Tamandua tetradactyla: one gene and its partners. The protein of the gene in region 3 interacts with the protein of the main gene of each other region in a pairwise test. Links are inferred from orthologs where the notes say so. Each region holds a gene or a part of one and is shown on either strand. Other genes may lie near its edges.

Region 1 (7,910 bases), on a different chromosome or scaffold from region 3:
AGTCCATCTCTGGAGGAAGTCCCCCAATCCCAGCCCATAGCTGCCCCTGACCCACTACATGTAGATGTGGCAGGCTGGGCTGATCTTGAGGGGACATTCCTGAACATGGGTGGTCCTGGGGCCAGTGAATCACTCCTTCTCTGTGCCCCCTCACTACACACCTCTCCCCCTCAACCCCCTGCTTTCCCATAAGCGGCTTATGGAAGCCCAGCTCTCTTAAGCAGCTTAGCAAAAGCTCTGCTGACTCAAGCCCAAGAGCCTGGAAAACTGTGGAGGGGGGAAGGGGAACAACTTTGACCCCACTCTTGGTTGATGTCCAAAAGGGGGAAATCTTAGCAAGCTGAGGGAACCCCCTCAAAGATCATCTAGGCCAGCCCAGGTTCTGAGCTTCCCTCACCTTGGCCCCCACAGAGAAAAGCACAGGCCGAGCCAGGGTGAAGGTGTGGCAGGGACAGTAGGGGGTGGGGGGTTGTTCTCAGGCCCAGGAGGGAAACCAGGAACAACGAGGGGCATGGCCTGCTCTTGTAGCAGCAACTTCAAGTGCTCTGCTAGGAGAGGCCCTAGCAACAAATAGGAAGGAGAGGCACAGTGGGGGGTGGGGGTGCACAAAGCACATCTTCCCCTGGCTGCCCATCCCCCGGAAATCACTCTCTAGGCCCCTGGGCCATCTTCTATTCCTCTGGGACAGGAAGAGGAAGTGAATGTAAAGTCATTCGCCTCTTCCCAAGCGTGGGGCAGACCCCGCCAGCAAGTTCTGCTGACAGCCTGGGGCCCAGCGGGGGTGGGGTGGGACACAAAGCTTGGGGCAGGGTCAATCACAGCTTGGAGGGTAAAGGAAGGGGGACGGAAGTAGGGAGCCCCTCCTCCTACTGATTTTCATAGAAAGTTAGCACTAGTCTAAAGATGTAGAGAAAAGGTACAGGGCCTAGGGAGAGGCGTGGGAGAGGTGGAAGCAGAGTTCTAGTTGTCCAACTTCCAGCCCCTGGTAAGGCTCCCCTTTTTCCCCTCACTCTCCAGCTTTTCACTGGGGAACAACCTTTGCAGTCTGACTTCATTCTCTTCTACTGTAAATTCGATATACCAAGCCCTCTGTCCTTACAGGAAATGAAGATTGGGGGACACCCATGGCTCAGAATACCACAGCCACTCCCTCCCTTCTGCCAGGGAGTGATGAGGATTGGGACCCAGGGTCAGGCCAGAATAAAGGGCAAAGAGACTGAGGGCTAAAACCACAACTGTTCCCTTCCCCTCAGCCACAAATAGCTCCCTAAGCTGGATTCTGGGTTTGATAATCCAGGAACTGCTAACCTCAGGCCAGTGTGATTAGGGTCAGAAGAGACAAGGGGGTGCCAAGGCAGAGAGCCCTGAGAGCATTCTCATCCCCTGGGGTTCTCAGCTTCTGCAGAGGAAAGGGCTCCCATGAAGCCACTTCCCCTACTCACAGCCCACAGATGCCCCATCTCTGAGGGCTATGAATTTCCCCCCAGATTAGGTGACTTCGTGGGATGTGGGCAGGAAGCCCTTTGAAGTTGCAAAACATCCCCAGGACTCGGGTCAGACAGACCTCCTGACATCGTCTAAAATTCTGCCCCAGAGTTAAGCTGAATCTTCAAAGATGCTGTTACCAACTGGGCTGCAATTGACACCGACGTCAGCCTGGTTTTCCAGCAGTGCCTACTTGGGCAAAGGAGCTCAGCACTCCAGGGGCCCAGTCAAGAATGGCCGCTATCTGGCTCAGACAGGAGGGAGCTGGGCCCTCAGGGGCCCAGGTGCACAAGCCCAGGCATGTCATCATGGCCCTTCCACAGATGCTGCACTTGCAGCTCCAGGCTGCAGGGCTCAGGTCCTCTCCAGCACCTGCACTCCATCCCCACAGGGAGGGACCCCTGGCCCCACCCTCTGACAGAGGGAGCCAGATCCACTGCCTGTCTGAATGCCACCCAATCTTCAAAGTTCAACCACCAACTCTGCCATGAGGCTTCCTAGTGACTTGTTCCTCTGTTTTGAATGCCTACTTGCCTGCCTCCAGGCAGCAGCTCTGCTGAGCCCTCAGGCTTGTAGGTAAAAAGGTCCTATTTACAGAGCACTTACAGCATGCCAAGCACTGTGCAGAGCATTCGATTTTCATAACCCTATGAAGTAGGAGCCACTATCCCCATTTTGCAGATGTAGAAACATGCTCAGAGGGGTGAAGTTACTTGCCCAAGGTTACACAGCCAGTGACATGGCAAAGCTGTAACACACCCAAGCTGTCCAGCTCAGAGACTTCATAGTGGAGACCCTCCCCGCAGCTCCATGAGTGCCTCAGGTAGAAGACAGAACCTGCTCCTCGCTGGAGGGGGGGGCGGGGGGGGGGGGGAGGCAGGAACCCACTCCGTGGTAGGGACGGGGGCCAACCCACGGAAGCGTCCTGCTCAGTTCTGCTCCAGGCCAGGGGGATGCCGCCGGGGCCCCAGCCTTCCTACACGATCTCCGGCGAGGGTTCTGCTGTCAGGAAGCCCTTGGTGGTCTCGATTTTTTCAGGGGCGGGGACTGGGGACAGGCCCCAAAGGGCTCTTGAGGACTGCATGGGTAAGGGGCTATGGTTGCAACTGTTGCCCCACCTCCATCACGAGAAAGGGAATAGGACTCTCAAAAAAAGAAAGCGGTGGGGAAGAAATAAACATTTAAAAGAGAGAAGGGACTCCCAGGGTAATCAAGGGAAGTGGAGACAGTGGAACCTCAGGCTTGGAGCCATAAGGAAGAGGCATAAAGGTAGGGGAGGGGGACGCGGAGGGGCACCGGGTGCGGGAAAGGGGGCCGGGGCTCCGTGCGCCGTCAGGGCCCTGCTGCCCGCGCGCTCTCGCGCCCGCGGGCGGCGCTCCCTCGCCGGCGCTCACCGCCAGTGATCCGCTGCAGCCCCAGCACGTCCTCCGGCCCGATCGGCTGCTTCCTCTGCAACGGCCCTGGCCGGGGCCTGGGGCCCGCCTCCAGCTCTGACTCAGATCCGGATTCGGATTCCGCCGGCGGCTTTGGCTCGGCCTTGGGCTCCACGTTTGGGCCCGAAGCCCCACGAGCCGGTTCCGCCTCCGTCCCGGCGCCGCCGCCGCCCTTCTTCACCTTCATGGCCTCGCAGGCCCGCGGCTCCTACTGCCGCCACCGCTGCCTGCGCCGGCTGGAGCCGGGGAAGGGGAGCGACCGCAACCCCGCCCCCGGCCGGGGCCCCAGGTACCGCTCCGCCCCTCCACCGGGGTGGGCCCCAACCCAACCCCGCCCACCCGCCGCAGCCCGGCGGAAAGGGGGCGGCGCGGCGGATCGACGCTCTCCCTGGGCTTCATTCTTTCGGTAGATGTTTCAGGGGGTTCTCCCTACAGCTCCTGGCTGTGCGCCAGTCACTCTGCCCTTGACCCATCAAGCTCGTCCCAGCCTTCGGGGTCTTTGCCTGCGACGCTCTTCTCCTATATGGTCTCTTCTTGTCCACTTGGTCCCAGCTCAAATGCCATCTGCTCAAAGGCCCCCAGCAGTCCCACTTTTAAGTACACCCTTCCCCCCCACCCCAGCTGCTATCTGATCAGCCTGTTTTTTCTTTCTAGTACAGTTACCTGAAGTTATTTTAACTTGCTCCCCGACCCTTCTCCCTAAAAGATCAACTCTGTGAAAGCAGAACCTGTCTGCTTCATTCCCCATATACCCCCAGCCTCAAGCAGTGTCCAGAAAAGCCAGTGCTCTATAAATTTGCTTTTTACTAACTGATGAATTAATATTTGTTAGTACTCACTGATTCTCTCCCAGAGCCTTTGCTAAGATGCAGAAATAGCTGCAGCAGCCTTGTTGGACAACCCAGTATGCACAGAGAGATAACAACCCAGGTGTCCTGCCCTACAGAACAGAGACAGGCAAAGCACATGGCCAGGTGGAGGTGAGGCAGGCCTGTGAACCCAGGAGGGTAGATACCAGGAAACGGTCACTTACACGTGATTGAAAGAATTCAAAGTATACCCATCCTTCACATGATTCTAATTCATATTCAACCAATGTTTATTGAGAGCCTAGTATGAGCCAGATACCTTTATATGCTTTACCTCGTTCAATCCTCATAACCACCTAGTGAAAGAGGTATCATTAGTGCCATTTAACAGGCAAAGAACTGAGGCTCAGAGAGATTAAGTGGCTTATCAAAAGCTCCACAGATGACAAGTGCAGAAGAAAGGATTTAAACTCAGGCCTATTTAATTCCAAGTCCAGAACTTTTCTCACTGTACCACACTGCCTTTCTAAGTGGGTGAATGGAATCTCTCCCACACACACAGCACTAGGTCCTGAGCTGCTTGCTGTCTTCTGGACTCTTATCTGGCTGTACCAAGAGGCATGGCCAGCCAGGCGGGAGGGGAGGAGGCCCCAGAAGTGACCTATGCCTGGCCCTTCCATCACAGCAGTGCTGGGGCTCTCCCGGAGGGATCAGAGAGAAGTGTTGAGTCGGGGGATCCAACCCAGGAACCCAGGGCTTTCCCCTAACATTGCCTTCTTGGTAGGAGAGGAATGTGCCATGTTGAGAAACAGGACAGAGTCACAAGCTGCCCCTGGCCTAGAAAGAAGTCAGCAGGGGCCTTCAAGTTCAAGTCAGATATGGAGACCCAGATGATGCCACTTTTTGAGGAGTGGGGTGATGGGGGAAAATGGAGCCCAGGAAATGGGACAAGAGGAGAGGTGAACCCATCCTGGAGTGCTGTACTTTGGTTGTTGGAGAGGCAGTGGAGGCGGCTAGAGACAAACAAGTCGTCCTGGCAGGCTCCCTTTATAAGTCTCTCAATCAAACACCTCCCACCCTGGCCAGAAAAGAAGAGTCCCTACTGAGATGTTGTCCTGCTCAGTCTATCTTCTCAGGCTTCTTCCAGGACTTGCGTGTCTCTAAGAAGATCTTGGCCAGGGACAGGAGGATGGGCACAGCCATGGGCAGGAAGAGTGGGATGTAGATTGCAAACTTCTGGTCATCAGGGAAATAAAGGAGATGGAGGAGTGAGGGGTCAAAAAAGGCACGCTCTGAGGATGTCACAGCTTCCTGGCTGGCAGTGAAGGCAGAGGCCAGGTGTCCAGCGGCCAACTCCTCTGTCGCTTTCTGGACTGCAGCTACCGCTCTGTACACCTAGAAATAGGAGCATTTCAGTGGAAAGTGTGCCTTCTGTCTACCAGGGCCTACAGTTTGCATAAGGTATGTGAAAGGTTATGGGGGTATTTTCTTAGAGGCAGTGGAGGAGGCTAGAGACGAACAAGTCATTCCGGGCAAGCCCCATTTATGTGCCTCTCAATCAAACACCTCCTTCCCTGCTCAAAATCTCATACTCCCATTTCATCTCCTGCTGTGGAGCTGGTACTGCCCACTGAGGCACTTAAGGATGGCAGGCCCACACATGCCCTGGTGGTATGTGAGAACTGGCTCTCTTTGGTCTCACCACACACTGGCCCTCGCTGGATTCTGAGGCCACAAAGTCCACCCCATGCCCATTTACCTCAGATGCCACATCATCCTTGATAACAATGTTGCTGATCTTGCCCAGAAGCTGGGCCAGGGAGGTGAGGGTGGTGGTGGCCGTGGCTAGGTTCTCCACTGATCGAGCCCAGAGCAGCCGGTCCAGCTCCCACGTCATTAGCCCTTCACTCCTCGGCCCAGAAAGCAGACATTTCAGAGGCACCTGGGGCTGAGCAATCCCAAAGAGCAGCCTGCAGGAAGAGAAAAGTAAGATCAAGATGGCTGATACGAGAAAGTGGTAGAAGGCAGCTAAGATTCCTCAAATATCTGCCCCAAAGCCAGATTCTTGACCTTACTCAGAACCACAGGGCTTATGGGGAAGTGCCTCAGGGTCTGGGTCTGGGGAGTCAGCAGCAAAACCCAGGAATCAGAGCCCTAAATCCTACTTCAACCAGTGTTTCCACTTTTACCTATTTCTATATATGAATTTCCAAGATCTTACTTGAAAAAGGTTCCATGGCTAAAAAATATCTGATCAAGTATACTGATTTAGTTTAATCCCCTCACCCTCTCTACCCTCTCTTTGGACAAACGGGCCCCTGGGACTTAGAGATAAGGGATGATCCAGGGCCACCTATGACAAGGCTTGGGTGCAGTGCCTCTCTAATTCTGCACCCAGGGTAGACACTGCTAATCGATCAGAAGAATACTCTTTCTTGATGAACTCAGAAACAACCGTAGAATCCATCGATCACTCAGTACAAGAATTAACAGCTGTTTCCTCAAGCACCCCTAATCACACCTCATGGACCTGACATTCATGAGTCTACCTTTCTTAAAAGGGAGCTTGTCCCACAACTAGACCTTCTTAGGAAAAGGAAGATGCAATCTTTGGAAACCTCTCCGAGCAAGGTATTCCTGCCAGGTGAGATTTCATTCTGATCTGAAATTCCCACCCTCTACAGTCAAGGAGATTGTCGCTAGACTCTCAGTGGCATGCCCCCAAGTGGATCACCCGGGACCTTACCGCAACTGAGCCAGGAACACCTCCATTACCCGCACCATGTCTACCTCCACTCTCACCGGCAGCCCTGAGGCATTGTAGGCTTTGGGGTCTACGTTGTATATCTGAAAGGAGGGATGAGGTTGCCACACCATCACGCCAGGAATGTGCACAGTTCTGCCCCAGACACCCCTGGCGACCATGTGCAGAGCTGTGCACAGAGAAAGGAAGGACAGTCTCTGTCCTTTAGAAGCTACAGCTAACACTTACTGGGAGCTTTACATAAATTATCTCAATTATCCCCTCAAAAGACCTGTAAAATGATATTTTTATCTCATTTTAGAGTTTTCACCTATGAAGAACTCCTAGTCTAAAGTTGGGAGACAAAAATTCCCAACTTTGCAAGCCTCCCACACATAGGGCCAAGATTAAAAATGTATACAAAGGGCAGGCCGCGGCGGCTCAGTGGCAGAGTTCTTGCCTGCCATGCTGGAGACCCGGGTTCAATTCCCAGTGCCTGCCCATGTTTAAAAAAAAAATGTACACAGAATAGTCCTAAGTAAGTGCAAAAGGTCATATTACATAAAACACTGACAGAGATAAGAAACAGTGGGGCAGGTTGAGGAAGGGAATGAGCACAGAGCACCTCACTGCCTTGGTGCCTATAGCTGGTGCCTCCCCCTCCTCCACCAACAGAAGGAAGAGTCTCAGGGAACATCTCTCTGTCACTGAAGCTTGAGTTCTGGGGTATGCAGTGTGACTATTACCATAATGCCACCCCAGCGGGGGCTGTGGAAGGCATTGGTGGCCACCAGAGCCCCGTCCTTGTCCTGAATGTAGAGGGGAGAGTGGGCAAGCTCAGGCACGTAGAGTAAAAAGTTGAGCACAGGGTAAAGAGAAGCAGCGCTGGATCCTGTGGCACAGAGAGAAGGGTAGACAGAACACCAAAACACAATGGACCTAGCTTAGTTCCAGATCAGCCTCTAATGTGCCAGTCACTCACTTCGGGCCTCAGTTTCCCAACTGCCCATCTCTACCATACCCTCCAGTCTTGGGTTTCTGTGGCAAAGGACCTCTGAACACTCTCCCAAGGTCTGCCACAAGGAAAGACTGCAGTCCTTATTCCCAAAAGGCCCCAGAAATCCCCCCACCTCTAAGAGGCGCCCTTGATTGTCTAAACCAGCTCTCTCGGCAAGTGCCACACTGTATCCATATTGCTAGAGCTAGATTTATGCACAAGTATAGCTCTGATCTTCATGTCAGTTCCCTGCTTAATATTCTTCAATGGCTAGTCATTAATTTTGGGTTAAAATTCAAACTCCCTAATGGGGTCCTTTATGATCTGGTGCCTGGTTGCCTTGCCAGAGCCTAACCTTTGGTCACTCCCTCACAGCTCAGCCACACTCAACTACTCTGAACTTCCCTTTTCCTGAAAGCCTCTTCTATCTCTGTAGTCATCAC
Region 2 (8,214 bases), on a different chromosome or scaffold from region 3:
AGAGGTGGGTTACTGATATAAATTTTAAAAAGAGAAGAAAAACAGAGGAGGATATTTAAGCTTAGATATGGATAATCTTAAAACATGACACAAAATACAGAAGCTATATTAAAAATATTGATATTTGACATGTCAATTTAAAAATCCTGCTCAATAACCACACAAGAGAAAAGGAACACATTGAGAAAAAAATATTTGCAACATATATTTATAATATATAATTTATAATAAATGTTGCAAAGAGTTAATATTAAAATATTTAAAATATTTAAAGAATACCTACAGAGGAAGTAAGACAATTCAATAGTAAAATAGGCAAAAACAAAATTAACAAGCAAGTCACAGAAGAAAAAAGAAATGGCCAAATACAGAAAAAGATTTGCAATTTCTCAATAATAGTAACTAACACATAATGCTTAGTATGCAACAGGTGCTTTTCTAAATGCTTTAGATTATCAACTCATTTAATCATCACAACCCTGTAAGTTAGGTACTGTTATTATCCCCATTTTACAGATGAGCAAAGTGAGGCAGAGGTTAAAGAAGTTGCTTAAGGACACAAAACTAGGATACCAAAGCATGTAGAACAGCTCAACACTTGTCCAGTATAGCTCTTAACTACTATATCTATTAGCTCTCCAGGGATTTAGGACTCTAGGGAAACACACATTAAAACAAGATATCATTGGTTGTCCAAATTAGCAAAATTAAAAAAGACTGATGTAGTGAATGGGGGGGAATGAGTATTGTCAACACTGTTGGTGGGAAAATAAAATGGAGCTTCCCGTTTTTAGTAATAAACTATTCTTATAGAAACAGATACTCCAAAACAAAGTTCAAAAAAACAATTTATACTTTAAAAGGCAACCAACAGTGGGGTAAGGGTAGCTCAGTAGTAGAATTCTCGCCTGCCAGGCTGGAGACCTGGGTTTAATTCCAGGACCCTGCCCTTCCTGACTGTTTTGCAAAAGAAAAAAAAAAACCCTCCTTTAAAAGTCAGTCAACAGGGCAGGCCTCGGTGGCTCAGTGACAGAGTTCTTGCCTGCCACCGGCCTGGGTTTGATTCCCAGTGCCTGCCCATGTTAAAAAAAAAAGAAGTCGACCAACGGTCTGGTTGTTTTTCACCAAAACACTAATTTTATTTTTTTCTAAAGCTTAATAGCAAATCTTAAAACTCCTTTCCTTTTCTCTCTTCATTTTCAGTTGCCATAAAGGTTACTAGAGGATGGATGTGCAATTCATTGCTTCCATGCTAACTTTAAGTGGCTGCTTCCCTTGTGCTTTGTGATTTAGTTAGCTCAAATCAAACTTTTTTTGATTTTTTTTTTCCTGTGAGCCTGTTTCTTAGCACACGAGTGTCATGACTGTATTGGTTAATTCATCTTCCCTTCTAGTGGGCTAACACAGATTCTGTTTCTACTTTTTTCCATCTTTGTTCCTTAGCCTCCTACTCAACTGGTTCAAAAGCCAAGAGAAGGTGAGAAGCGCCAAATTTCCCTTTCTGCTTTGTTCAAAAGCAATAATAATAATTTTTAAAACCCTCTTGTTTTTAGCAACAAATTATTTCCAATCAGTCAAAAAAGTTGCTTCTGAAATCTCCCAACTCTCCACAGTCTCCAACTTACTTGTCTAAACCATACATGTTAAATAGCAATATAAAATACTTAAAAGTAAATTTTTTTCTTTCTTTTTATAGGCTCCATTATGAAGAGAAACATGGAACGATCCATGGAACTATAAAAAAGGCTGTTACTAAGATTCACTACATAAACGTACTGAAAGTTTATCATGAATGAAAGGTGATACAACTTTAAATTTTTGCTTTGTTTTGTTTTGTTTTAAGCAGAGCAGTCCACTTCCATTTGAAAAATTTCATTTATACATCCAAAACTTCCTACATTTTGTGTTCTAAAAATTGTTACCAACTTGTTTTCTAATTATGACAACACAATTTAATTGGAGTGAAATGGGCATTGTGAAAACCCAACAGACACCTTGGAGAACTGCACAAGACTTCACTAAACTTCCAGTGGGGGAGCCAGAAGGTGATGACTGCATTTTCACTGAGAAAGGAATTGAATGGATAGGATGTAAGAAGAGATTAAGATCAGCAGGAAAATACATAATCGGAATATACAAGATTGCATTTTTTTTCATCTGCATCATATGGTTACAGATGGATACCTCATTAAAACACAAAGCTCCCTTACTGCATTAAGGAGAGAAGGTAGCAAAAGTCGCATCACTACAAGCCTGAGGCAATGATTTTTATCTATTCTACCCAACCTAACCATGTTTAATTGCTGGACAGCACCACCAGGTCCAGGCATTTACCACAAAAGTGAGCAAGCAAAGACACCTTTGCTAGGCGTCCCAAGGCAAAAACCAAAGTACCTCGAAGCATCGCTCACGCAAGTTCGTGGTCTTCATTTTTCTGGAAAGAAAAGTGAAAAGCTGAGGGGAAAAGCAGTGAGCATCCAATGCCTCAAAAGACCAAGAGAGAGCTGAAATGAGGTTGGTCTCGGACTTCCCTTTCCACAACTTCCTCTACTCGGGCCCTGGAAGAAGCCACAAGTGAGGAAGAGAAGTTGTGGAAACCAGACGAAGGTGGTGGGGTAGGGGGATCTGAGAGATTTAGCACAAGCATTGGCATTTGTCCCACACAAAGTCACTCGCCGCAAGTCACTCTTGCCCTCTCTCCCGGTGGGCTTCCTGCCAACCGGGCTTCTAAGCTTCGAGGCCAGCCTGCCGCGCCCCCCTCGGCCCTTCCCCCGGGCTGCAGCCCCTTTTCTGCCTCTGGGTCCCAGCCCGAGCTCGGAACCACACTGGTCTCCCCGACACCCGTCTCGGATGCCCGGCACCCCTCCCAGCCAATTCCCGGGCTCCTCCGTCTTCCACCCCCGGGGCTCCCGTCAACGTCCCCTTCCTTCCTCAGGACGCCCCATTCCCCGGGCGCTGTACCTTCCTCTCCCTTCCCGCTCCCCTCCAGCTCAGGTGTCCACCTGGAGCGGCCCCCACCCCCAGCCCATCTCCTTAGGGAGCTGCCGTCTCCCAAGTCCTCCCGGCCCCGCCCCGCTCCCGGGCGGATACAGTTTGAAGCCCCTCAGGATCTCCCTGGCCCGCTCGTCCTTGGCTGACATGATGCGGCGCCCGCCTCCCGCAGCTCTCTTATGCTGGCCCAGCGGAGCCTCGCAGACGGTGCCCAGGAACCGAGGACAGTGCCACAGCCGGGCCTGGAGTCCTCGGGCGAGCAGCGGCAGCGGCCCGACCTGGACCGGCCTCTCTCTCTCCCTCAGCTCCCGCTCCTGATCCCTTCTCCTTCCCCTAGCCCCCGAGTGCCCACCCCAAAGCCAATGAAAAGCCGGTTTCGACGATTGGCATCCTGGCCAGCCTATAAAAACACTCAGCGGCTTCGCGGGGGGGACGGTAAGCGTCAATGGGAAGGACCCTCCCCGGGAAGTCCCTTAGGACAAAATTTTCATTCGGTGTTGCCTGGAGTTTGCCCCAGAGGCGGGCTGACTTCACATCATCTGAAGAAGCTCGAGGGAACTGTCACCGCCTCTGGGCCCGATAAGGGCTCTGAGGTGACTGCAAGTTGAACTATGCGGTGTGATGAAGACCACATTTCCCAGAACTCCACGGGCGCGACCGGGGATCACAGTTCTCAGCAAGCAACAGAGGCCAGGGACTACAATTCCCAGCATTCTCTGCACTCCGCTTCTGTGTAATTTAGACCCCAGTGTGCCCGGCACTGTGCATAAATTCATAAACCCGCCAGCTAGCTTCATGGTTTCTGAATCCCGAGCCTTGAAACCTGGCAGGAAGGTCCTCTTCACCCTCCAATGAAGATGACAGCACAAGGAGAGTTAACTTCTTTTCACAGCTCCTGCAAATCGTGGTAAGACTGCAAACAACAAAAATAATGATTAAACCAATACGTAACAAAACTCCTTCAAATCGTGCTTACTTGCCGGTCTGGGGTGCCTTTTACGTGGCTTTTAAGGGTTTCTGGTATGTCCTGCACTGGAGGTAGAGCTATCTATTGTAAACTCATATTCGTGAAGGGGCTTTAAAAAAATTGCTGATCCATCCCTTGTTTTAGATATGAGGAAACTGAGGTCTGGAGAGGAGAGGAGACTGGCCGCAGATCAAGTAAGTTGAGGCAGAGTTAGAATTCGGCTTTAAGCCCCTTGAGCCCAGTTGAGCTCTTAGCACTGCACTAGCATGGTGATATTTTTAGGAGAATGGCTATGTGATTGGCCTTGTTGAACAGTTTTCCCATACAGGGTTGAAACACCCAGAGGTTAGGCAAGTATTTATTTAGCGAATTACCTGCAAATGAAAGAGTGTGATTGTTTATCTTTAGTCTAAGTGAGTCTTGGTATCAGTTGTCACTCAAACTGGCATTTAATGCAATTTCAGGAACTAAGTAAAACTGCAGTCTAAGCAGGGGTTTCTTAGGAGGACTTCTCTATCCTAAGCCTTCCTTCCTATTCCTGTCTCCCCACCCCCTACCCCTTCACCCCTCTGGGCACCCACCCAATCTTTTTTCTTCCATGTAATCAAACAAATGTTTTCAGCTTCCATTATTTACCAGCTGCTATGTGTGGGTTAAGGGTGAAAGACTTGGCCACTGCCACCAGGAAGCTAATCTCCTAGTTAGGGAAATAGGGAGCTTCATTTAGATACAAGGTGAAGTGTGAGAAATGGCAGAAAAGAATGATGTCAGAATGCTACAGAAGTTCTGATGGAGAGATTTATTACAACTGATCAAAAGTTTATGGCAGGGCAGGCAACAGTGGCTCAGCAGGAAGAGTTCTCGCCTGCTATGGGGAGACCCGGGTTCAATTCCCAGTGCCTGTCCATGTAAACAGAAAAAAAGTTTATGGCAGAGGTAGCATTTGAACTTGAAGGGTGTGTGAAATTTTCTACTTTAAAAAATGTTTATCTTTAAATTTTTCAGTTATTGAGGGAAACTGACGTTTACTAAGAGACATTTTCACATTTGTATACCCTTGTCTCTCCATCACTCAAATCAAGATATAGCACATTTCTTGCACCCCTTGTGCCCCTTCCCAATCAGAACTTCACCCCCATCCCCAGATAACCATTATTCTGACGCCTACCACCATAGATTAGTTGTCAGTTCTTGGCTTACATTTAAATGTAATCATACAGTAAAATTCTCTTCTGTGTCTAGCTTTTTTCATTCATCAGTATTCTTGTGAAGATTCATCCAGGTTATGTGCAGTGGTAGCTTATTTTTGCTGTTGTTGCTGAGCAGTATTCCATTGAATGTATAAACTACAATTTATTTACCTATTCTGTCAAAGGACATTTGGGTTGTTATCAGTTTTTGGTTACTATTATCAAAGTTGCAATGAGCATTCTTTTTTTCCCCTGTATATATGAGATTTATAAAGGTGTCTCACACAACCATGGGAATGGAAGAGTCCAAAATCTGTAGGGCAGGCTGTGAAGCTGGTGGCTCTGATGAAGGGTCTGGATGAACTCCACAGGAGAGGCTCGCTGGCTGAAGAAGCAGCGAGTCTCTCTTCTTCCTTAAAAGCCTTCAACTGATTGAATTATCTCGTTGTGGGAGATATGCCTTAGTTGATCGCAGATGTGATCAGCCACAGATGCAATCAACTAACTGATGATTAAAAACACCAGCCTTCCGGCTTTCGTCCAGCCACGAAATATTCTTGCAGTGCAGTAAACATTCTTAAATATATGTGTCTTTTTACGGACATGTACACTCATTTCTCGGAGTGGAGTTATTGGCTGTAGAGTTTGTATGTGATCGTTATTACTAGTTATTGACAAATTGTTTTCCAAAGTGATTGCACCAGTTTAAGCCTTCAACAGCAATGTAAAAGAGTTTTAATTGCCTTTTACCCTTGTCACTACGGGATCTTTTAAATTTTAGCCATTTTGGCTAAACATGGTTTCTCATTAAAAAGTATTTGCACTTTTTTTTATGTATTTTTTATTTAAGTAAACAAACAATACGTTTAGAACCAACAAAAGTAGACATTTTAGTTAGCTCAACCATGGTCATATTTAAACAAAGTATCCATATAATCATTATAAAGCCTGTGTTTGTGTATTTGCACTTTCATTATGGTAATTGCCTCTCCATATACTTATTGGTCATGTCCTCTTTGGTGAAGTTCCTGTTACAGTCTCACGCCCATTTTTTTTTTAAATTGGATTGTCTTCTTTTTGATTTTGCAGTTATTTATATAGTCTGGATACGAGTTCTTTGACATATGCTTTGCAAATATCTTCTCCAACTGTTTTTTTTTTTTTCACTCTCTTATTGGAATGTTTTAAATAAATGGAAATTCTTAATTTCAAGTAGAGCGATAGGTCAGTGTTTTCTTTTTTGGTTAGTGGATTTTTCATCCAGTTTAAGAAATCTTTGCTTACAAGGTTAGTAGGATATTAGCAGGCAAGTTAGAGAAGAGCTTTGCAAATAGACGAGAACAGGTTTGAGCATAGGTCTTGGTGTCAGAGAGGGAAAGTGCAAGTGTGTTGGGTATGGGAAGGCCTGGAGTTTGGGCTGTGAAGGGGGTGCTGGGAGACAGCTGGAAGGGTAGGGGAAAAGGCTCACTATGAATGATTTTAACTGCAGCCTTAGAGTCTGGACATTATTCCAGAGGAAGAGGAGTCACTGCCAGAATGTTTATGAACTGAGAATGACTGGATGGATGGGAGCTGTCCTTTGCACAGTCTTGACTATTTGTAGGTCATTTATGTGCAGGCACTAAGTACCGAGCAGGGTAGGAGAAGGACCAAGTACAGCTCTTGCTGGTCCCACTCACCCAAAACGAAAGCATGTAGTTTGGTGGTTCAGTGGTAGAAGGCTCGCCTTCCATGCGGGAGACCCGGGTTTGATTCCCGGACCATGCATCCACTCCTCCCTCCTCCCAAAAAAACCAAAATAAAAACAAAACAACATGTAGTTTATAGAAGCTTCTTCCCTTCCTAGAAGGCAGTTTAGTAACCACTGATGGTTACTAGAGCTTGGGGAGGAGCAGAGGTTAACACCTTTCCCACCTCCACTCTAGGAGCCCATCAAAAGATGCATTTCAGGGTGGGCCACGGTGGCTCAGCAGGTAAGAGTGCTTGCCTGCCATGCCCGAGGACCCGGGTTCAATTCCTGGTGCTTGCCCATGTAAAAAATAAAAAAATAAAAAAAGATGCATTTCAACCACCCTAGCACTCTCCCTGGGAGAAGTTCTGGTAAGTATGGTTTTCCCATCTCCCTACAGCCCCGCAAGGACAGGATAACTTCTAACTGGCTGACCTGTAGACTAGCTCTTTCCTGTTCAAGGATTAATTCCCACTCACTGATCCGGCTGTGGCTTCCAATGGCCAAATTTCCCTTCCACTCACCTTAGCTGGCCTGGGTAGTCTTCTGAGAAGGTAAAAAGTGCCTCAGTTGGATAGTTGATACTGAAGTGTAAATAGATGAAAATCTTCTGGGGAGATATTTACATTTTAAAGGAAACGTCGTTGATCAAAATAAAACCTTAGTAGAAAATGTGGAAGAAGTCAGAAACAAAAAATTACTTATATTCCCATCACCCAGAGAAAACCCCCATTGAAGTTTTGGTGTGGTTTCTTCAAGCTCTGACTCTATGTATGTACTCATGTTTATGTTTCTGGCCTTCCTTCCCTTTAGCTGTTGCTCTCTCTTGTCCATCACACCCAAGTTTGTGGAAAGAATCATCCGTGCTCAGGGTCTATTTGCTCCCCTTCCTCACTCTGGCCTCCAAAAAGTGGTCTAGCACAATGCCTTCTTTACTGCTGAATTGACAAACGAATGACCATGTATTAGTTTGTTAAGCGGCCAGAAAGCAATACCAGAAATGAAACGGCTTTTAAAAAGGGAATTTAATGAGTTACAAGTTTACACTTCTAAGGCCATAAATATGTCCTAACTAAAGCATCTAGAGAAAGATACCTTGGCTCAAGGAAGGGTGATCTGGGAAGGCACGTGGCTGGTATCTGCTGGTCCTTGGTCCTCGTTCCCAGTTCCATTGCATCCAGCTTCTGGTGCCAGTGGTTTCCTCTCTAAGTGTCTGTGGGCATTCACTTAGATGTTCGGGGGCAAAACTCTGGGTTTCATCTCTTAACTTAGCATCTGCCAGGGCCTGAGATTTCTTCTGTTCAGGTTCTGACTATTTCTGTTAGTCCTTACTTAGC
Region 3 (8,348 bases):
AAGGGAAAATTTTGAACTAAAAGGAGCCAAGAAGTTGATCTTATCCAATGTTTCAAGAAAACCTGGTGGACATGTTTTTCCTCTTTCATTGTAACTTAACTATTTTCTTCTACCTTATGCAAAAGCTCTGCACACCATCTTAATAGCTTTACCTGTCAGAAGAGAGGTGGAGCCAGATGCTGGTCCTGCCTGTTGGAACAGCAGCAAAACCTTTACCAATAGACTTGACAGATATGAACATTGTCAATAAACCCCACTCTGAAAAAAGATGAGAAAAAAGATGTGTGGCCTTCCTAGGGAGGTCCCTTATCAAATGGAAAACAGAGACTTATTTTTCAATTGCCACCCAGGTTAAATAAACCACATCTTGATAATCTTAAAGTTAAGAGTAAAAGATACATTCTGCATTCCCCAGAACAAAATACCTAAGCCAAACAGATTTTATCTTGTCTTGTTTAGAAACTGGTGAGAAAAGTAGAATTGTCCCTCCCATCTCATACTGATTCAGTGCAATAAATGAATTCTGGGCCTGAATACCTGCCAGGAACCATGTGAAGCACTGGGTGATACTTATATTTATTTACAGTTAGTAAGTAACCACTTATTTCCCTGAACTGAAGTGAATAAAAACCTTGTCTTAAATATGAAGGTACTGTCCCTTACCTTGCCTATCTTCTGAGAACATTCTTTTAAATTAAGATAAGAAATTATCAGCAACTTCTAAAATGAGAGGTTTCTTCATCTGCTTTAATAATTTAATCCTATTAAAAGCTGTTAAAAATAGCATCTCCATCTTTCTCTCATTTCTCTTCCTTTCCACTCTCCTCCACATAAAAAGGTGATAAGATCCAGTTGAAAGAACAATGGACAGTACATGCACACACACAGCTCCCTCTTCCAGCTTCCAATAGCAACAACAAGAAGATAGTAAAAAACGACTAAAACAAGAAAGAAAGAAAAGGCAACACACCAATGATTCCTGTCAAGTGCATGGACTGGACATTTAATCTCGTCCTCAAGATTAGCAAATTCTGAAGAATCAAACTTAGAATTAAAAGGAACATGGAGTGGGGGAGGAATACATAAAGGAGCTTGAGAATTGACTTATTCTAAAAATAAGATCCTAGACACAAAGAAATTGATTTTTATTTTTTGGAAATAAGTTTTCAATAAATGCCATACAAGGATAATGTCTTAGCAAAGGAGTCACTCTGAAAGGAAGAAGAAATGAATGATGAGTGGTACATCCTTTTCTCTGAAAGTTATACAAAACGACCACCTCAGGAGAGCTGAGTTTTGTTTTTTTATTTTTCCAGTCTTAGTTTCAGCAAAAATAGGTCTTAATGCTTAAAGGTTTTATTTATTTTTTTTTTTCCTGGCATGGGCAGGCACTGGGACTCGAACCCAGGTCTCTGGCATTTCTTTAATCTTTTGATAAAGGATATGTAGTACCCTCATAAAAGTGAACTGTTTGCTTTAAAATATTTTCCTCACTTTCAGTGATAACCCAAGCAATGTTAGTCATTTCTTATGGGACTGTTTCACTGCACTTGTGAATTTATTAAAAAGCAAAGTTAAAGTAACAGAATAATAATTTTCGTATTATGAAAGCAAAACTAGTATGTAGGGAAACATGGCAGATAAGACAAGAAGGCCCACGGATTTTGACATAAAACTGACCCTAAACTGGCAAAGAAATTAATCTGCTTTTAGGGTAACATTGAGCTCCACAAAGCTTCATCCACCCACCTTTCCTTAGACTACACCCATTTAGAGATTAACCTGAGTAACCAGTATTTCCATTACTCTATTCCTAAATGTTGGGTGCATTTGCACTTAAAGACAGCCTCTGTGAGGCAATATGTAGATTTAACACACACACAGTAAATAAAGAAAATAAAATGATCAGAATCACTTGATTTTATTTTCAGGAATTATTTAATTAAATACCCAAAATTAGCTTTCAACATTATAGGCAATGTCATCCTTTCATATTCGGTAATTCTACTGGGCTTTAATTTAGGCATACTGCAAGACAAAAATCAACATACTGTATCTTACAAGACAGTTTACAAATTAATCATTTGTCCAATTTAGAAAATAATGTTTGGGATCTATCTGGCAAGTTTCTTAATTTATATGGCACTCCGCATAATCAAGTACCCTCCAAATCAGATAATCCCCTTAAAGGTAGTGGGGTGAGCTGCATGGAGGAAGTTACTACCATCAGCAACAGAATAACAAAACAAAATCTGAACTCAGAATTTTTGGCTCTTTTAGTGCGCTCTATTCACTACATGCATTAAGTGCAATGACCATCCTTTCCTACAAGATCACCAAGCCATGAAGCTTTAGGGGAAACATTTTCTTCAAGTAAACTAATGTATAAGCCTAAATAAATTACTAAATCAGAATTCCTTCAGCGCATTTTTATCAGAAAAGCATTCACAGTCTTTCATTTAAAGCATTTCACAGTCTTAAGTGTAATTCCTAGAAGGCACTGGCGAATCTCCTAGAATTGCCAGGCCAATCCGCAGTCGAAAATCAATGCATGTGTCCCAGGGGATGACAGGAGGGTCAATGTTTTAACTCTCCACTTCAACTCTGCATTGCAATAGCGGTTCTAGCTTGGAAGGTAAACATGGAAATTGTATGGGAACACAGCCAGTGTAAGAATGAGGATCCCTCTAACCGCAAACATGCAACTCTGGGGAAATGAAATCGCTGGAACAACATACGACGCTTTCATAATTCCACAAACATATATACAAATCCACTTTCAAAATAATGTCCAGGTCCCAACTCTGTGCGGACACTTTTCCCACCTAAACTCAGCACAAGCCTGGCCTAGAAGAACAGCTAGGATCAATCCCGTGCACAGCGGCATGCACCCGCAACCTGAACGGCGGGACAGTCCTGTTCCGGCCAGGTGGCGATGTAGTTTAGTCCAGTCTCGTTTATGGTAATGTGCTTTTAAAACCCTGCCGCGACCGAGGTCATAGCTTTAGAGATCTAATAACAACCAAATGACTGGGGCTGCCGGGCACTTAGTGAGCCATTCTGGTTATGGCTCTTTAATAGTACCTGGAGTCCTGAAGGGAAAGCAGAAAACTCCGGCTTCCCGGGAAAGAAAAGTCCTCTGCGGAGAAGCAAAGAAACCTACCACGGACGCCCCGCCGCCCGCAGCCCCATTTCTCGGACAGCCCCAGCGCTGCCCTAGCCCGGCAGCCCGGCTGGCCCCGGCCTCACCTTTACCTGTCGGCTCCACCACCCCCCTGCCCTGCTGCGCTGCTGCCCCGGCTGCCGCCTCTCCAAGCCCCGGGCAAGCTCTACCGCCGCTGCAGGAGAAAGAACCCCAAAGGCATCCCATACCAAAGAAAGAAAGCAAAAAGGCTGTTCCTCAAGGCGGAGGGACATAGGGCACGCCGAGATCTGAGAGGCGACACGCCACCCCTGCCCCGCACCTACCAGATAATCCATGTACAGAAACGCCTCAGTTATCCGGAGATCAGACATCCGGCAGCCTAAAGCATCCGGAACGGCTCCGAACCCGGAAAAAAAAGCAGCGTCTCTGACTGCGAGCGATCAGCCCCTGAAAAGCCAGCAACAGCGAAAATAGCCGAGAGCAGCCGAAGAGCCGAAGATTACACAAGGGGCGCGGCGATTGGCCAGGCGGGAGAGCAGAGGGAAAGGAGGGCACTCATTGGCTGAGGTGCCTATAAAAGGCAGGCCTTTGCTGAAGGCTGGTGAGAAGCGCGGGAGAGGCGAGGCCGTAGGTGTCTATGAGCTAGAGGGGCGTGGGCTGGGGAGGCGCAGGCGGAAGAACGAGCGTAGAAAAAGCGGAAAATCGCCAGATACTGCCGCCTGAATGCTGTGTGCTCCTGTAGCCTCAGATTAGGTAGAGGGAACAGAACCCTGGGCTGCAGTCCCCCAGTAGAAGCAAGCACTTTAACGTGGGAGGAACGTAGTCGCCGACACTTAATGTTTCTCTCAGGAGCGTTTTCCTAAAGGCTCTGAGGCCACGAGACATACTGCAGGGACAAGAAGGGTGTAGGAGCATTCTTCGTGAACAGACAAAACTCCACCTGACTTGGGGGCGGAAAGACCCCTCCCACCTTCATCACGTGAAACTGCTAAGGTGAGCAACGTCAGCCTGATGCCCCTGGGGGCGCACACACGTTCCCATCGCAGCCTGGAGCAACTCGGGAGACGAGGTATTATCAGAAACTCCCAGCTCCTGAAAAGAAAAAAAAAGTTTGGAGATTTGGTACAGTCAGTTGCAGTTCCCAAACACTGGGAAGGAGAATTCTTTCAACACTTTGAATCCACTTAACACTGATTACAAATCCAATGCCCCTGTATAAAATTTAGCAGGAGCATAAGAAGCTCTCTGAAAAGACCCGAGTCATGTACTATGGCCCGCGTTACTTGAAGAAGTGAAAGTACCTATGAGCAGAGGGACTTGAGACTTGTGCTTTTCCTGGTGAATAACTTGGGAATTGGAGTTGGATTTCAAAAGTACGCTAAGCTGATAAAGCCTGAGTCTGACAAGAAGCCGAGTAAGAACTCTCGAGGCTGTAATTGAAGATTCAGCCTTTTGAATAACTATAAGTGCCAGACACACCTACCTTACTAGGCTCAGGTGATTGGGTAACTTCCAGGGTTTAAGGAGAAAGGAGAATGAAGAAATTGCTCTCACTTGTATTAATAATTAGTGCTTCCATACAATAATATTTCACGAGTGCAACTTCTTTAGCTAAAACCTTTCTGGGTTTTTAAATGTATTCAAATGTTGATTTAGGGATTGAAGTTGAATTATTTTCCCCCAACTTTGCACCTTCCCTTTTTGTATTCCCAGGTACTGAATTTCCAAACAATAAGATTTCTCAGGCTACCAATGCAATTCTACTGTTAGAAAACAGTGGCATTCACCTAACTCTGCAGCTAACCTTGAAAGGAATATAGCTCCTTAGAGAGGGCTTAAGGTTGTTGAGCCATATGACGTATTGGGTATGTTATCTAATCTACCTGAGTATGTTCATTCAGTGGAGAAATGAGAACTACACCAGTTTTTTTTTTTTTTTTTCACTTGAGACATTCACTGTATTTGTAGAGGGGTGGGGAAAACAGTGGAATGAGAGATACAAAACTGGGAAGACAGGATGCTGCAGGTGCCAGGACCCCCTAGAACTCCTCCCTCTCATCCACACCGTCCCTAGACTCTGTGTCCACTGCTTCATAATCCTTCTCCAGAGAAACCAGGTCCTCTCGGGCTTGGGAGAATTCCCTTTCCTCCATACCCTCACCCGCATACCAATGTACGAAAGCCCTCTTGGCATACATGAGGTCAAACTTATGGTCAAGGCAGGCCCAGGTCTCAGCTGTGGTGTTGTTTAGCATGCAGACTGCCTGCTGCACTTTGGCCAGGCCCCGCCCCAGGAACCACTGTTGGGCTGGTAGTTGATGCAAACCTTGAAACCCACGGGACACCAGTCCACAAACTGCATGGTACGCTTCTTTTTGATTGTGGCAATGGTGGCATTCATGTCCTTGGGCATCTCCACGTAAAGCATGCAACAGACCATGCACTTGTCATGACAAGGGTCACACTTGACCATCTGATTAGACAGTTCAAAGCAGGTGTTCTAGTTTGCAAGCTGCCAGAATGCCACTTACCAGAAATGCAACAGCTCTTAAAAAGGGGAATTTAATATGTTGCAAGTTTATATTTTAACAATTGTGTATTACATTTCAAAATGTGTCTTGGTAAAAAACCTGATGCTTCAGAACTCTATATGGAGCCCAGTTTTTCAAATTAGGTTTTAATCTTCAGGGTATTAATGGATCCATCCTTGTGTAGAGAAGAGACTAACTTGACTGTGTTGGTATGAACAGATAATACACTATCCACTAATAATAGATAATACTACATGAAATGGTGGTATTAGCTGATAGGTTTGATAGCAAAAACTGTAATCACTCAAATGCATGCTTTTAAAGAGAGTGTACAGAGGTTAGAATGCATTCATTCAACCTACTCCACTATATACCAAGTAATGAGCTGCAGTCTTGAATAAGACATGGTATCATTAATCTAGTCCTGCCTTTGCCCTCCGTAAAAAGAACGCCCCTCTTCCAAATGCATAGGAAAACATGTATAGACTTGTTGAACAATGGTATTGCACAGTTCCGGAGGAACGAGGCCATCTATGCTGCTTGTCAAAAGTAAGGGGAAACTCTGTTGACAGTCCATACTCTACAATTCTGCAAAGATGGCTGGCTAACCAGATTTTTGTTCAAATGTCACTCGTAGGAAACAAAAACAGAACTGCATTTTTTACAAATTGGTCCCCTAAATTTTACCATGCCCCCAAATCAATATCTTAGTGGCTATTTCCATAAAGTCTTTTTGTTGTTCATTTGCTTGATGAATATATTAACTTACAGAAGAACACTGTCTTTACTAGTTTTGGGTCATGCACGTTGACCTAATATGTTAACTTCACCATATGAAACTCTTATGAAAAATTATTAGAAATGAAATTGCTAAATTACTTTTTTTTTTTTTTAACATAGGTCAGCACTAGAAATTGAACCTGGGTCTCCAGCACGGCACGTGAGAATTCTGCCACTGAGCCACTGTGGCCCACCCTTAAAATGCTTTTTAATACTCATTTTTGTATTAGCTTATAGTCTTCTTTCCCCCTACTCCAAACTCCAAAGTAGGGAGTGTTTATCTTCTTTGATCCTTGCATTCTTTGAGTATATTATTCCTTAATAGCTAAGCGACATGTCTTTCATTAGAATCACTCTTAAACTATGGACACCCCTTTTTCAGAAAAATGGAGGTGTCTGTACATGGACTTCTGCAGAAGTCATTCAGGCGCTTTTCTCATTTACTGCCTCCTGTAAATCCTATGATCTTCAAATTCTCTTCTGAGCCCTGTCCCTATTTTTCAGGGTTGCCTTAACCCCCACCTCTGCTTTACCCCTTCTTTACCTCTTCTTGACCCCTCCTCTACTTCCTAAACCTAAACAAAATTCGACTATCTCCTAGGAGATGAGCCTTACTGGAGCAGAGTGCTCCCACATAAAGCTGCTAACAGTATGTGATTATTAAATGGAAGAGATTGAACAAAGTTAGAGATTAGAATTAAGATTAAGATATTCTGGCATGGGTGGTTCAGTGGCAGAATCATCACCTTTCATGCAGGAGACCCAGGTTCAATTCCCGGACCTCTTGTAGTTAGAAAATTTAAAATTTAAAATATCTCTATGTCAAATGAAACCTATTTTCTCTTCTACAGGTAGATGCTCAAGTCTCATACATCTCTTCTTTAAAGCTCAGTGGCCTGAAGTCATGATAAACTTCTGCTGCTACTTAATTATATGAGTTTGGGTAAGTCACCTATTCCTTTTGGACTTCTCTTTACACAGCTATAGAATAGAGTTAGACTAATCACTGAACAATTAAGGGTTACTTCCAGATCTAGAGATCTATAGTCCAGGTTCACTGACTTATCCTTTTTTCTCCCAGAAAGGATTTGCTGGGTATTGGAGTATTACAGCAACAAAAGACACTTAAAATGAAAATTCACCATTTAAAGCAAGAGTAAATAATTATACTAGGAAAAGGTGATTAGACCTTATAAACACCAAGTATCATGAAGCTATGCATTCATTTCGGTATGTCCCCAAGTTTAATTAGCATCTTAGACATGGCACTGCACTGCTGACAGTATTAGTTTCCTGTTGGTGCTGTAACAAATTACAACACATTAGTGGCTTGAAACAACATAAATTTATCCTCTTAGAGTTTAGAGGCCAGAAGTTCAGACTGAGTCATGATCTGGATTTCAGCTTCTTGCCTCTACTGGCTTCAACGATCCTTGACTTGAGGAATAATTCTAATCTCTACCCCTGTGGTCATACTACCCTCTCATCTTCTGTAGTCTAATCTCCCTCTACCTCTGGGAGACTAGATGGTATATAGGACCCACCCAGATAACCCGTTTGTGTCAAGATCCTTAATTTAATCACACTGCAAAGTCTTTTCTGCCATAAAAAGTTACATTCACAGGTTCCTGGGATTAGGACCTATATATCTTTGGGGGCCATTAGTCAACCTGCAACATTTATCTTATGATATGAAGAAAAAGTAAATATTTCCATTCTTCCAGAGACAAGAATAATTCATTAATGACTTGGCATCAGAAAACTGGGGATAACCTCTCAACTTTCAAACGAATTTGATAACTTAAAACTTTCAGATGCAGCAACTAAAGTCCTTTCCATCTCTACACAGTCCAGCTATTTCTCATGTGTTCTTCTTCCCATAGTGTGTCATC

Evidence for each region.
Region 1: the proteins of ARL15 (region 3) and UNC119 interact in binary tests that used the Homo sapiens proteins (3 or more experiments, as listed by UniProt). The link is inferred for Tamandua tetradactyla from reciprocal best matches to the Homo sapiens genes ARL15 and UNC119.
Region 2: the proteins of ARL15 (region 3) and PDE6D interact in binary tests that used the Homo sapiens proteins (3 or more experiments, as listed by UniProt). The link is inferred for Tamandua tetradactyla from reciprocal best matches to the Homo sapiens genes ARL15 and PDE6D.

Annotation. Positions count from the first base shown.
Region 1 is NC_135332.1:51,779,589-51,787,498, forward strand, and holds the start of UNC119 (protein unc-119 homolog A), read right to left. Parts: upstream 3,218-7,910; 5' UTR 3,106-3,217; coding exon 2,880-3,105; intron 1-2,879. Other genes in the region: GPI-anchor transamidase component PIGS, read right to left, coding at 4,847-5,122, 5,487-5,697, 6,474-6,574, 7,217-7,362. UniProt on the Homo sapiens protein: Involved in synaptic functions in photoreceptor cells, the signal transduction in immune cells as a Src family kinase activator, endosome recycling, the uptake of bacteria and endocytosis, protein trafficking in sensory neurons and as lipid-binding chaperone with specificity for a diverse subset of myristoylated proteins.
Region 2 is NC_135329.1:207,759,015-207,767,228, forward strand, and holds the start of PDE6D (retinal rod rhodopsin-sensitive cGMP 3',5'-cyclic phosphodiesterase subunit delta), read right to left. Parts: upstream 3,340-8,214; 5' UTR 3,141-3,339; coding exon 3,091-3,140; intron 1-3,090. UniProt on the Homo sapiens protein: Promotes the release of prenylated target proteins from cellular membranes. Modulates the activity of prenylated or palmitoylated Ras family members by regulating their subcellular location.
Region 3 is NC_135335.1:100,504,692-100,513,039, forward strand, and holds the start of ARL15 (ADP-ribosylation factor-like protein 15), read right to left. Parts: upstream 3,624-8,348; 5' UTR 3,517-3,623; coding exon 3,469-3,516; intron 1-3,468.